2 linked regions of the Arabidopsis thaliana genome follow. The protein of the gene in region 2 interacts with the protein of the main gene of each other region in a pairwise test. Each region holds a gene or a part of one and is shown on either strand. Other genes may lie near its edges.

Region 1 (5,827 bases), 4.3 Mb from region 2:
GTAGTATCTTCTTAATGAAACGTAAAGATAATATATTTAAATAAATGAATCTTTTTATTTTCTGATATCCAGCTGATTCTGTGGCCCAAGAAACCCAATCCATTATCCATGGCGTGAAGACATATGTAGCTGTCGTAAAAGAATAAACAAAGACCAATTAAAAAAGAGCCAATTAACAACCAAATTACATAAAATTTATTAAAACTAATCTATTAATCACACGTCTTGTTCTGCCGTCAGAATGTAATTACCGTCCGTCTTTTAGGAAACAAAGAACAAAACAAACGGCGGGCCCACCGCCGTTAGAATCTCTCTCGGTTAGCCGACGCGGCCACCATTCTCTCTCTCTCTTCATCCATTCTCCACGCGTCGCGTTGACCACGTGGCACTATACATCTTTAAAACTCTTTCTATTTTATTTAAATAGCGAGTGCGTTGTGGGCCATCTTTGTTTTTCTTTGGCGGAGGGGCGGCTAAATAGCCTTTTGTTTTTATTTTAGTTTTATTCCGCGAAAGAAAAAGCAGTCAAACTCCAAGTTGAATTTGGAGCTGAGTCTACGAAGTCACGCATAACGCTCTTTCTTTCACGCGATCGCCGTCGGCACGTGTTTGGCGGTGAGATTCACGCTCGTACATGGAAACGCGGTTCCCAAGCCGCGCGTCCTCAAGGTGTTGCCACGTATTTTACATTTTTGCGTCATCCAATACTGTTCTTTGGTTTCTTCTTCTCTCTTCTTTTCAGGCGCCGCTGCTTAACTTATTTCCTAGTTTTTGAAGTTACTCTTGTCTTTAACTCACACTGCCATATAGTATGACTTTATTTACCTGTATTTTCAAATTTTTACACACATAACAGTATCTTTAGTTGTTTATTGGTCTTACAAAAAATTGGGTATTTTTTAAACCAAAAGTTTTGAGATACGAAAACAAAATTGATATGATCTGAAAAATTAGTTACTCACATATTTGTTCAAGTTTTTTTCTCAATTATGCAAGCATTAAGGTTGATCCAACAGGTTATGAGAAAACAAACTGAGTTCATTACAAGTGTACTCACTAGAGCAAGCTTGTGTAGTTATATCCTAAATCATGAGGGTAAATGGCACATGACAATTCGTAGTTAGATTAACTATATATATTAAATTAAGATGTGGGATTACATTCTTAATTCCCTCGGTTATGAAAATCAAAATCTTATCACCAGCATTCAAGGGAATACGCTGTGTAGACAAAACAGCAAACAACATGCATCTCCATTAAATGCGTCAAATACTGTACGGATTTCTTTAGTTTTTTTGTTACAAATTGTATCAAAAGTTTGTTAGTACATTGTACATACAGATAACAAATGAATTTCACTTTTTAGATAAAATAGTTTACACAAAAAAAAAAAAAAAAGACTTTGCATCCAATATTTTCCACCACAAAATAAATCATTCAAAATACGGATTGATTAAATATGTATCATAGTAAGATCTATATTTCAAAATTTATCCTTATTTCATTAAGAACTTTAATGCAAAGATTACATAGTCCAATTAATTTTCTCATTGCCAAATATTAATAATTAAATTAAAGATCCAGTGATAAAAAGTTTTATTTTAAAATTAAAGTCAATCAAATTAATGTATTTAATTTGTATCTATATTTTTGACAATGTATTCAACTTTTTAAATACATCAATAAATTCATTAATAAGATGATCAACAAAAATTGAAAACGCTTGGTGAGGTTAAAAAAGAAATGAAGGGTTGATAAGAAAAACAAAATTCTTTGAAAGAGGAAAGAAAAACACGTGGCAAAAGATAAGTGGAGGTAAAAAAGAAAACCATGAAAACCGCTGGTGTTTTGTAAGAGAAGCCGCTAAAACCATTTCAGGCTTTGACTGTTCACAACAAAGCGCCCCAAAAGGAGCGTCGCTTTTACTCTCTCTCCCATCCTATATATAAACAACTCTCTCCTTTCCTCTTCTCCCTTCAATTATCTATCACACCACCACTCTCTCTCTAATCTATCTATCCGAGAATGGCCAAGATGGGCTTGAAACCCGACCCGGCTACTACTAACCAGACCCACAATAATGCCAAGGAGATTCGTTACAGAGGCGTTAGGAAGCGTCCTTGGGGCCGTTATGCCGCCGAGATCCGAGATCCGGGCAAGAAAACCCGCGTCTGGCTTGGCACTTTCGATACGGCTGAAGAGGCGGCGCGTGCTTACGATACGGCGGCGCGTGATTTTCGTGGTGCTAAGGCTAAGACCAATTTCCCAACTTTTCTCGAGCTGAGTGACCAGAAGGTCCCTACCGGTTTCGCGCGTAGCCCTAGCCAGAGCAGCACGCTCGACTGTGCTTCTCCTCCGACGTTAGTTGTGCCTTCAGCGACGGCTGGGAATGTTCCCCCGCAGCTCGAGCTTAGTCTCGGCGGAGGAGGCGGCGGCTCGTGTTATCAGATCCCGATGTCGCGTCCTGTCTACTTTTTGGACCTGATGGGGATCGGTAACGTAGGTCGTGGTCAGCCTCCTCCTGTGACATCGGCGTTTAGATCGCCGGTGGTGCATGTTGCGACGAAGATGGCTTGTGGTGCCCAAAGCGACTCTGATTCGTCATCGGTCGTTGATTTCGAAGGTGGGATGGAGAAGAGATCTCAGCTGTTAGATCTAGATCTTAATTTGCCTCCTCCATCGGAACAGGCCTGAGCTTTTAACGGTGTCGTTTCAATTCGAAGCGCATGCGTTTCTTCTTCTTTTTGAGCTGTGAAAATTCGTTTTCTCATAGTTTTTCCTCTCTCTCTCTCTCAGTCTAAATTTATTACCAGTTTTTAGAAAGAAAAAACAGATTAAATCTGAGAGAGAAAAATATAATTTTAGCTGACATGGATCGTTATGTACATATTATTACATAACCGGAGATCTGAACTTTTGTTGTGTGCTTTTAATTTTTTGCGACTTGGTTTCACCCCATGTTGTTTCTCTATTTTTTTTACTACTTTTTTTTTTTTTGTTCTTCCAAATTTTCAATCAATAATTTGGTAATCTTCAGAATTATCTTGTCCAATCCAATTTCCGAAATTTTGATTATTACTACTTGTGGGTTGTGGCGGCTCCTTCTATTGGCTTTCCTTTTCTATCGTTACCACCAAATTAAAAAAATTGAAGGGACTAAAATTACTTATTTGACAAAACAAAATAATTGTAAGTTGAAGTATAAGAAAAACTAAAATTCAAAGTGAGATTAATAAAATGGTAGTTGAGTATCGTCGGCTTTTAACAATGGTCCAAGTTTCCAGCAGACACGCAGCCGGCGTGTGTGGGCCCTCGTTTTGCTCTCTGCGGCGTAAGTTAGAAAATTCTTTGCGCTTACGTCACTTAGTAGTAGGGTCCACTCACAGAGTACGGACATACTCATTTCTTTTCTTTCTAGCTAACTTGGAAGAGTCTTGAAGCTGAGAGTTAACACTCTTTAGGTCTGACAGAGAGAACCTAGATTTTTAATTTGATAGATTCTTAAATTTGGAAAAGAAACTGCCACAAAACAAAGATAAGATTTTGTTCAATTTTTTTTAAGAAAGATCTCTAGTTTCGTAAACAAATTTTTGTCGGCAAAAAATGGAAAAAGAGTACACAAAGTCTCTAAAGAAACAACTATGACTAGTCTAGATATTGGTTTTTTTTATCTGAAAGCTTTTAGAATATATAGCTTATAGTGCAAAATTAATTTTCTTTAAACTATGACATTGAATTGATTCGGAGTTGAATTGGACTAAACCAACATCATTTGACCCGTTAAGCTAACAATAGTGTTATTTATAGATATTCTTTTGGCCAATTATTTCTAGATGGCTGGTCTTTTTGAATTTTATTTCGTTGTTTTAAATTTGTGCGGAAAGTAAATTTAACTTGCGAAATTTTTTATTGAATGATGGCGTGATGTGTTGAAAATGTAAATATAGGTACAAAACAATGATGTTAAAAGTTTGAAAGAAAACGACGACGTATAAGAGGGTGTGAAATAGAAAGCGGCTTCATAATGAGAGGCAGAGAAGAGAGGTTTTTGATTGGATTCTTGTCTCCAACTCCGCAATCAGAAAGAGTCAATAACTATCCTTTCGTGATTCTCGTGTAGATCCAACGGCTAGATTCTATTCTTATCCACGTGTCTGGATCATACACTTTCATGTTTATTAACTACGCAAAAAAAAAAAAAGAGTGAAGCGGCACCGACGGCCAAGCAGCGCGAGTCATCATCATCCTTTTCAGAAGAGACCGAATCAGAGACGGTGGCGCCCACATTCCCATTTTTTTTAATAATATATTTATGAGAATAAGACTTTTTAGTAGTATTATTTCAAAGTCTTTGTCCTCTCAAAGAGAGTATTTATAGCGAGTAAATTATGTTTACAAATATATATATATATCTAGAAATAAAGAATGTTTTTACGCATCTTTTATCGTATTCAAATAATTTCACTCAGACAGAATAGTTGAGGTATATTTTAGAAGTTAATTTGATAAGTTAAACTCCTGTTTTTAAAAGAGAGACAATTTTGCAGAGGAAAACATTGTATGCCCGTAACAGTTCATGAAGATAAAATCACTTAAAATAAAAAAATTAATATTTACTTTTCCTATTGGTAGTTATCCAAGTAGAAGTCCACCAATTATAATTGACCTAATATGCCTTAAAAATCCGGTTCGATTGACTCTGTTAACATATTTCTTAAGTGAAAACCGGAATTTTTACAGAAGATGTGTGTGGTTGAGCATATGGCGCGTGTGAAAGTGGCATGGGATGTAAATTCCGTGTTGACGAGGTTTATGTCGGGATATTGGGTTGTCTTCACGTGCATCTCCACCGTCCGATAAAGTTTGATTCTCACTGTCTTTCTTTTCATTTCATTGATTTATTATATATTTACTAGCCTTATTTGTTTACGTGAAGGACTCCGTAAATTGAGGTAATTTCATTTTGGCCCCTCATCTCATCATCTTGTCCCAAAGAAACCCCACCTCCCACAATTTTTCAATACCAGAAACTTTAGACAATAAGATTAATTTTTACATTAAAAAAAATAAAAAGAAGAAGAATATGCAGAGAAATAGGCATACTAATTATACACATGGATGATGGGTCATGTGTAGAATTAATAAAATACAGGTTAGTTGCAGATATGGATATCAGGATCACATCTTAATTAAAAATATATTAGCATTATAATATTCGAGTGGGAATAATAATTCATTTTAAATCTTAACCAAAAATAAAATACTGAGAGACACGTGTGAAACAAGATTAGCTGCGGCGGCCGCTTTTTCTTGGTGGAACCCACACGCTTCATACTAAGGTCATCCAGAATCTCAATCCCAACCAACCAGATTTTTTCCCTCCTTTTTCTTCTCACCCGATTCGAAGTCGGCTACATAATGTATCTATATTGCTTATTTATCTCATTTCTTTTGGTCTTTTACATAGAGAACCCTATCATTTATTAATCTCAACAAAAGTATCCCAATCATCCATTTTTATGGCACACTGCATTAAAAGCTCACAGGAAATTAACTACAGATCCATTACGCACCGCTTCAATATTAGTTTCAAAAGTAACATCATTCACCGGCATTTCATTAATTGGAGAAGATATTTTTCTCCTTGAGTAAATTTATTACTCGAGTACAACACGCATAAACAAATTCAATAAGATGGTTTTTGTATTAGATCAGTTTTCAATCGAATTTTCTTTTAACTATAAATAATGATTAGTAACATTTATCAATCCTAAGTTTCTAAGACTACGAGAGCTTCATAAAATTTTGCACTAACAAAAATTGAATT
Region 2 (8,928 bases):
CACTAAAACAGTCTGACCAACAAGAGTTTGAAGACCTGCAGGCTACGTTTATATCTTTTGACTATTATAGTATGTTCCCATTACTTTGAGATCTCGTAGTACTCAATAAATATTACACGGTTTTAAGTCGATAAATAATAAATACATAAAATTCTCTAGCTAACGCTTTTAGACAATTCGAAACCGAGTGGAAACTACACAAAGCATCTTTTGACATATACGCACGTGTTACTTCATCATCGTCCAATATAAATAGACTCATTACTAAACTCAACAACCATTAAAACCAAAGATCAATCTCTTCTTAATAGTCAATCATATATCAAAAAATTTAAACTCTTCTTGATCAATGGCTTCTTCTTCTGCTGCTATGTCTCTTGAATCCATCTCTATGACAACTCTCAACAATCTCTCTCGTAATCATCAATCTCACCGCAGTTCTCTTCTTGGTTTCTCAAGATCTTTCCAAAACCTTGGAATCTCATCTAACGGTCCAGATTTCTCCTCCCGATCAAGATCTACTACTTCCAAGAACCTCAACGTTACTCGAGCTTTCTTCTGGAATTGGGGCAAGAAGACCGAAAACTCCAGACCAAGTAAGTTTAATAGTTTATAGATCCTTTTGTCTTTTAGTACACTGCGACTAAGTCAACGCCTGTTAATCCGATATTTTTCCTAGATTTGAGACAAATCAAGATTTAAAGACTAATAATCCTTTTTGTTAGCTCAGAAATCAAAATGCTTTATTTCATAAGCAAAATCGATTAGATCTTTAAATGCCCTGCTCAAAATTGATTGGTCTAAAAAATAATCAGATCTTAAAAAAACAAAGTACCGAATTCATAAATTCGAGTTTTAATTATTCAGGTAAGATCCAAGAACTAAACGTGTATGAGCTCAACGAAGGAGATAGAAACAGTCCAGCAGTTCTTAAACTCGGCAAGAAACCAACAGAGCTTTGTCTCGGAGATCTCGTCCCATTCACAAACAAACTCTACACCGGCGATCTCAAGAAACGCGTGGGAATCACGGCAGGTCTCTGCGTTTTGATCCAACACGTTCCTGAAAAGAGCGGTGACAGATTCGAAGCTAGTTACAGCTTCTACTTTGGTGACTATGGTCACTTGTCTGTACAAGGACAATACTTGACTTATGAAGACACGTTCCTCGCTGTCACTGGTGGCTCTGGAATCTTTGAAGGTGCGTACGGACAGGTTAAGCTTCGTCAGCTTGTGTATCCGACAAAACTGTTCTACACTTTTTACCTTAAAGGGTTAGCTAATGATTTACCGCTGGAGCTTACTGGAACGGCGGTTACGCCGTCGAAGGATGTGAAACCGGCACCGGAAGCTAAGGCGATGGAGCCTAGTGGAGTTATAAGTAACTTTACTAATTAAGTAATTAGCTGTTTAATAGTTGTTTTGTTTTGTAATAGAATATTTTGATGAGTTGTGTGAGGTTAGTTAATGATGTGTTGAGGGAATAAAGTATTTATTTTGATGTGACTTTATTGATTACAACTGGTCTTTCTACAACGTGGAACTGTTGTACTCGATTTCAAAGTAAAACTTTTTACATTAGTTTCGGTATTTTCACGGAATAAATTGATAGCTAGAACCTTTAATCTTATGGTTTAAAATGGTACACTCATATACACAGTTAGGGTAGTGGAGTTAATGCTAGTAATTAGTAACACAATATTTTTTGGTTCGTTATGGTTTTGGTGTTAATTGTGTTAATGTCATAATGCTTTAACGCTAATTTGTTGTTGGCACAGATATTTAAAACTAAAAAAAGCAACCTAGTTATTGCTGGCTATCTTTTTAAATTGAGAAGTTAACATCTTGTCAAGTGAATCGTGTAATATTGTTATACTCTAAAGATCGATATTATTGTGTCTACCAGTCAAAACATGTGTTGGAGGGAAATTTTATTTGTAGGTTCATCATATGTCAGGAACATTATTGTCATGTTTCTGTAAGCTTTCTGACATTTAAGTTCAGATTTTGACCATAAGTTTTGATCATAAATGAGAAAAGAACAAAGTTAAGTTTAGTTTTGCGAATGTTAAAAAAAATAAATATCTTATTTGCACTTTTTGAATTATTTACCAAATATAAAAACCAAGATGGTGTTTTTTTTGTAATACCAAAAAAGAGAGAATTTTAGCTACGAGAGAATGCAAAATTCGGATTTGTGATCCGTTTTATTGAAAAAGATTTTAGTTTCATAGAACATATATCAAGTAGTATACAAATTGAAAAATAGGGTCTGATAGATCCGAGACACTTGGGTATTATCACCTAACTTTTAAACGTTTATGCCAGTTTTTTGACAAACAAATCACGAAGTATTTGAGGATAAATACAGTATTTGTTTATGTTTTCTATCTTTTTTTAGGAGGATGAGTTCATTGGTTTGATCTTAAACAATTGAAAATTTATAGGTTACCACCAATTTTGCGATTTTTTTTCTTCTTCTATACTTTAGATTTAAGTTTATATATAGATATTTTCGTTTGATATCAATATGGGAAGCCCACAAAGTTGGGGAGTTTAGTGGTACCTTTTTTTTTGGTTCACAATTGCATACGAATATTGGGGAGTTTAGTGGTACTATTGCATACGAATATTGGAGATACGAGAAAGGGGTGGAAAAAATTGATGATAAATTGAGCCCAAGTAGGAAACAATACACAAGGCCGTATATAAAGTTGGCATGTTGGGTTCAATACATGAGGCCGTCTTTTTGTTCGGCCGCGGCCAGTGGTGAACACTGAATATGGCCTTTTGAGACTCCGAGGGGACAATTATAATCCAACACTAAAATACATCTCTAAACTCTATTTGCCAACTAATTTCTTTATTTAAAATACGTTTCAATCTAATCAAAACAGATAAGCCTGTTAAACACAATTTTGATTTCTCGAGACTACGAATAGGTGGATCTATTTGTATCATAACATCATAACATATAAATCGATATTTAAAATTTTGAGTAATAAATTTGATGTTGGTCTCTAACAATTTGCGGGTAATTTCTTGATATTTTGGACATCACCCGAACATATTAGCTCATTACACACCAATTTCTATAGAGGCAACATATTTTCTTATCATTAAAGTTGACAGCTATTAGAGCCCTTAATCACGTTTGATTTCATATCTAATTCCAAATTATATGGATATAACAACAGCATAGCATATAAATTGATATGTGTAGCATTAGGTTATATCTTTGACCGGGAAATGCATTGGCAGGCCATTATACTGGGAAGATGCATTCGCATATATATTAGTAGGTGTACTTAGTAATCGTCTACTTGACATAATTAAAATTACCGGTCAAAAACACGAGATATATAGGAACTCATATTGTGTGGATATATATATTAGTTTACATGTGTATTTATGGATAAGGTTATAACGAATTCAACAAATTCTCAAGGTCCTATGAAATTTCAACAAGTATATTACAGTTTTTTTTTTATATATGGCTTTTCTTCTCCCATGTTTCGGCTGTCTACGAAGAGACATTTGGCTTTTCATATTGGGATATTGAAAAATACATTTTCAACGTTTTATATATGATTTTGTGTGGGTGAAATTAATACTTACAGAACAAAAGAGCTCATGCACGTTTAGTGTTATTTTGGCGGCTGTTTTTAAGGATTTGCATATATTCTTTCCCACGTATTGAATTCTATAAATGACATAATAATCAAACTTGTAAAAATAATAGAATGAATAGTTTATAGTCTTCCAAAATTCGATTTCTGTTGTAGTGGAATCGCAGACATTTTCTAACTTATGAATGTTGTTATAGGACTTCTTTAAACCTTGGTTGGATATACCCAAATAAATATAAAGTTCACACGAAAAAAACTTGGAATCACATCCAGGAATATTCACCACTGGATCAATACTACTATACAACAAGGGAAAAAAAAATATTTAACTTGGGAAGGTATATACTTATTTTATAAACAAAAGCAAGATTCGCCTTGTAATGCGACGGCCCGACTTCTCTCTTTCAAATAATGATCCTTGAGAAACCCTATAGAGCCATATATACGTTGTCTTTATAAAGAGACATAACTCATCTCTTCTTGACTAACTTTATAGTTAAAGTTATCAATTATTCGAAAACAAAGCTGGTTTTTTGTTTTGTCCCTTAAACCAGCATGATCAAGAACTTAAGTAATATGAAGAATGACAATCAGAAACGTGAAAAATGTTGCGAGTACATCGAAGCTCTCGAAGAAGAACGTCGCAAGATCAATGTTTTCCAACGCGAGCTTCCTCTTTGCGTAGAGCTCGTGACTCAAGGTACATACATATGCATTTACATTTCATATAAGATATAATGAGTTTATATATATGGATTAAATGTTAGATCTAAAGATTTTTAAAAAATGTTTTATGGAATTTAGCGATTGAGGCGTATAAGAGGGAGATATCAGGGACGTCGACGGATAACTTATACGGACAGTCGGAGTGCTCAGAGCAGACCACCGGAGAATGTGGGCGCATCTTGGATCTGTTCATACCAATCAAACACTCTTCGACCTCCATAGAAGAAGAGGTTGATGACAAAGATGATGATGATGAAGAACACCAGTCTCATGAAACCGACATAGATTTTGATGACAAGAACATGAAATCTGAATGGCTCAAGTCTGTTCAGCTCTGGAACCAATCCGACGCAGTTGTTTCTAATAATAGACAGGTAAGATTTTTATTTTATTTTATTTTTTCTTTGTTTACATTTGTGTTTTTGTTTGCCTTGAATTACATTTACTGTATTGTTTCCAAACCAGCCTATTGACGTTGTTAATTGTTAACGTAAAGACTAAACGCATAACCTTCTGTGTACTTTATGCGATTGTGTTTGTAACTTACAACTTCACAAATAGATTATTCTTTTTTCTTCCAGTTTTTGTTTTTTTTAATAGACCGAAAAAGGATGGGTGCACAAAAAGATAGTAAATTGCTCACAAAAAGATTTTGTTTTGTAATTTAAGTTTCTAATAGCATTTTGCGTATTCAGGATCGCTCACAAGAAAAGACAGAGACGCTGGTAGAGTTGATAAAAATAAACGATGAAGCAGCGAAGAAAAACAACAACATAAAATCACCGGTGACTACTAGCGATGGTGGCAGTGGCGGTGGCGGTGGCAGAAGAGGGCAGAGAAAGAATAGGCGGTGTTGGTCGCAAGAGTTACACAGACGCTTCTTGAACGCTCTTAAACAACTTGGTGGCCCTCATGGTGCGTTTCTTGGTTTTAAGTTAAAACATATATATCAGTAGTCATATCTTTTTGTTAGGGCTCATGAAGTTTAATTAATTCGTAATGACCTTTTTGTTCACTAAATTTTGAAGTAGCTACGCCGAAACAGATAAGAGATATAATGAAGGTTGATGGGTTAACAAATGATGAAGTCAAAAGTCATTTACAGGTTAGTAAATCATATTCCATGAAAAATACATGTAACTAATATGTAAAAGGTATATATTAATTTCATCATTTTAGTTACAAATGTTTTTATAATTTAGAAGGAAAATAATATTTATTGTTTCATATTTTTTTTAATGATAAATAGAAATATAGGCTGCATGCAAGACGGCCAAGCCAAACAACACCGAACAACAGAAACTCTCAAACGCAACATTTCGTGGTGGTTGGTGGAATATGGGTCCCACAGACTAACCATTCAACGGCCAACGCAGTCAACGCCGTCGCATCGGGTGAGACCACCGGGATTTATGGGCCTATGGTCAGTTCGTTGCCGTCCGAGTGGCCGAGGCATTCCAATTTTGGTAGGAAGATTTCGGAAGATAGATCAAGATGCTCTAACAACGGATTTTTTCGGTGTAGCTCACCAGCTATGTCTTGTTCTACTCGTACAAAGACGAAAGATGCAAAAATAATATCATAAATTTAATTTTTGATTATTTATTAAGAGAAAAAAGTTATAGACATTAATATTGTGAAGAGTGTATATATATAGATGTTGGAGCGTGACTCTATGTTATTTTTAGTTTCTTGGTTTTTTTCTATTAGCCGATGATATCTTTGATCAAAGATCCATATTAGCTAATGCATACTATATTTTTTTACGTCGTGCAATATGCATATCGATGATAATAAGTTAATAACACAAAATTATTAGATTACTAGTTGAAGAATCGTATATAGAAAGAATCGTAATTATATGTAGAATGATGGTATATTATCAGCATATATTTTTATAGAGGCTTTAGCCACCAAAATTAATAAATGTCAGTCACAAACTCAAATTAATTAATTTCGTCCTTAACATATGTATGTCGGCCAGGTTTCTATTTGCTATAGTAATATAAGATACACAGAAACATTGTAGAAATGTAAAATGTCTTCGAAAACAGAAGAAAAATACATATATAAACTTTTTTGAATGAAAATAAAAAAAATTATGCCATACAGAAGGATCGGAACTCGGTAGAATATGCCGGAATCTGAAGAGCATAATCTGCAAATATGTTTTTCAGGTTAAACTTTATTCTCTTGTTGCTTGTACTGGATATTAACACAAATGTGCACGTTGGGCTCCTTCTCGTGGAGTGAATTATTCTTTATTTGTTCCTTTTACTTTTGTAAATACAATTTTTCCATATAAGTATATAACTGTGTAAATATTAAACCCAAAATATGTTAAAAGACAAGTTTTTTTGTAACTTAAGGGCAAGAAACAAGGTGTAAAGCCACATGAAAATTGCTGACCATTCTAACTCTCGACACTACTATACAATTAATATCTCTTGACTTGTACTCATTCTCTATAACAACAACAATTGTTGGGTTTTCTTGTTCGCTCTCACTGTTGTTTATTAAGTGTTGTTCGTTTGCGAGGTTTTCTGAATCAATAATCAAAATGATTTCGATTGATAAGTTATCCTTTAATCAAAATTTCTTGGTTCCTATGGTTTCATCACCTCAAACATAAAAAAATCATACCAAGTTGTTAAATATCTTTAAAAATTCCTACCAAGTTACTAAATAAGTGTTCACAAATTTAGGGATCCTTTCATGTGACTCTATGAGCCATGTGACCTATTTTTCTACTACCTTTATAACAAATGGGGCTACAGTTTTAATAATATTCTTACTGATAATTTAATTTGAATACGAAGACCATTGGGAAACTTGAACATTGAGAAAGGCTATTGGAGTTCCCGAGATGGCGGTTTGATCTATTTCAAATCTTCAATAATATTACTATTATCAAATACTTCTTTGATTCTATAGATGTGTAAGTATTAATAATTTAATATTTGACGATGGATCCAAAAGAACAGGAATCGGATTAGGGTTTCCTTATGATATGATTTATTAATAGATTGGAATGGGTTTTAAACTCTTAGAAGCAGGATCTTTATGTGACCTTTCAGAGTCATAAAAAGCCTAAATAGCTCTTGATACTTACTTTAAGACCATTATGAGATCAAACCATGGAAAAATAAACAAATAGTAAAGCAACAAATGCTTTTTCTTGGTCTATACTTCATTACTTCTCATATTAACTAATATCATATCCATAAGGAATATTCGACTACACCTATTATTAATTGTATAATGTTAGTTCATAATTTATCTACATTTGTGCATAAACAATTAAACATATCTCTGATTAACAATAATAAAATATATAGTACGTGCTAATCTTGTTTTAATCTTCTCTTATATAAGATTAGGATTGATCAACCAAGTTTGACATGGTGTCTTAGTCTTATAGGAGTGAAATTTTTAATCAACCTTCCAAGGATTCTTTCGTCTATCCACGATGACGAATAGGTTGAAATGGAAACAGATTTCTTTCAGTTCTATACGTGTTTGATTTTATTTTTCTTTTAATAATACAAAATAATTATCAATGAAACTATTTAAATAGTCTCAGAGCTATAAATGTAATAAAGTAACAATGTTTACTAATTTTCTAATAGCAACATGATGTTTCATTATGTTCTTTAATTATTTCTGCAAAACAAGTATCAATTTGGGATTCAGCTAACGTTGAGTGCTAGCTGCTCTTCACATTTGCACACAATTTTGGGCTAATGAGCCCGAAAAGTTTACGAAGATGGACCAAGCCCGTTTATAGCCCCCGAGGTTAAAATTCCGAAAGGTTAATTCCCAAAAACTTAAAGGTTTTGACGATCTAAATTTTGATTTTAATGAACGGAAATAGTAAATGACCTGAAATAGAAAAAAATCAACTAGATAATCTACAATTTAAAGATTTGCAGAAAATCTTGGACGATAAAACAAGATACTAACATTTCTCACAGAATAATTTTGCTATAATAATTTAAAGTTCAGCTGCTATATTTTTTTTCCTTTGTTAATTTCATCTGCTATTTATTTGACCAAATTAAATATGTTATCTTGATTTGTTATCGTACGTCTACATAGTCTCTAATTTTAAAAAACAATTGCCGTAATTTTAGTTTTTATTTAATTGAAATTTTATTTACACATGTAACAAATAAAAAAAATGATTGAAAAGAATAATGTATATTATTTTAAAGTCATAACTAGTAACATGTAAAAAAGTAGTTATACATCACTATTTTAGGCAGTCAATGGTAATGAAAAAAAAAGAGCTTATTTTCTAGACCTGCATTGTTTATATTAATTTATACATAGTTGAAAATGAGATTCAAACTATGCTTTCAATAAATAGGTGAAGGATCGAGGTCGAGGCACCATCGATATAGAGTCAGCTCGTCCTTCACCACGGCAATTTCATGCCAACATCTTGCTCAAATGAGTATTCCATGGAGAGTGATTGGTAACCTGCAAAAGAAAAAGAAACTTAAAAAGGTTTATATGTATAAGGTTCACGTCAGTGTTTGAGTGACTTAAAAAAGTTTGTGTTAGTTATAAAA

Evidence for each region. Proteins that work in one complex are often made in the same cells at the same time.
Region 1: the proteins of AT3G25790 (region 2) and ERF4 interact in binary tests that used the Arabidopsis thaliana proteins (3 or more experiments, as listed by UniProt).

Annotation. Positions count from the first base shown.
Region 1 is NC_003074.8:5,119,447-5,125,273, forward strand, and holds ERF4 (ethylene responsive element binding factor 4), read left to right. Parts: upstream 1-1,975; 5' UTR 1,976-2,025; coding exon 2,026-2,694; 3' UTR 2,695-3,116; downstream 3,117-5,827.
Region 2 is NC_003074.8:9,409,013-9,417,940, forward strand, and holds AT3G25790 (myb-like transcription factor family protein), read left to right. Parts: upstream 1-4,039; 5' UTR 4,040-4,183; coding exon 4,184-4,328; intron 4,329-4,432; coding exon 4,433-4,728; intron 4,729-5,049; coding exon 5,050-5,269; intron 5,270-5,382; coding exon 5,383-5,459; coding exon of another isoform or gene 5,460-5,498; exon of another isoform or gene 5,499-5,603; coding exon 5,604-5,939; 3' UTR 5,940-6,228; downstream 6,229-8,928. Other genes in the region: AOC3 (allene oxide cyclase 3), read left to right, coding at 350-596, 868-1,397. UniProt on the Arabidopsis thaliana protein: Probable factor involved in nitrate and phosphate signaling in roots. Integrates nitrate and phosphate starvation responses and adaptation of root architecture, depending on nutrient availabilities.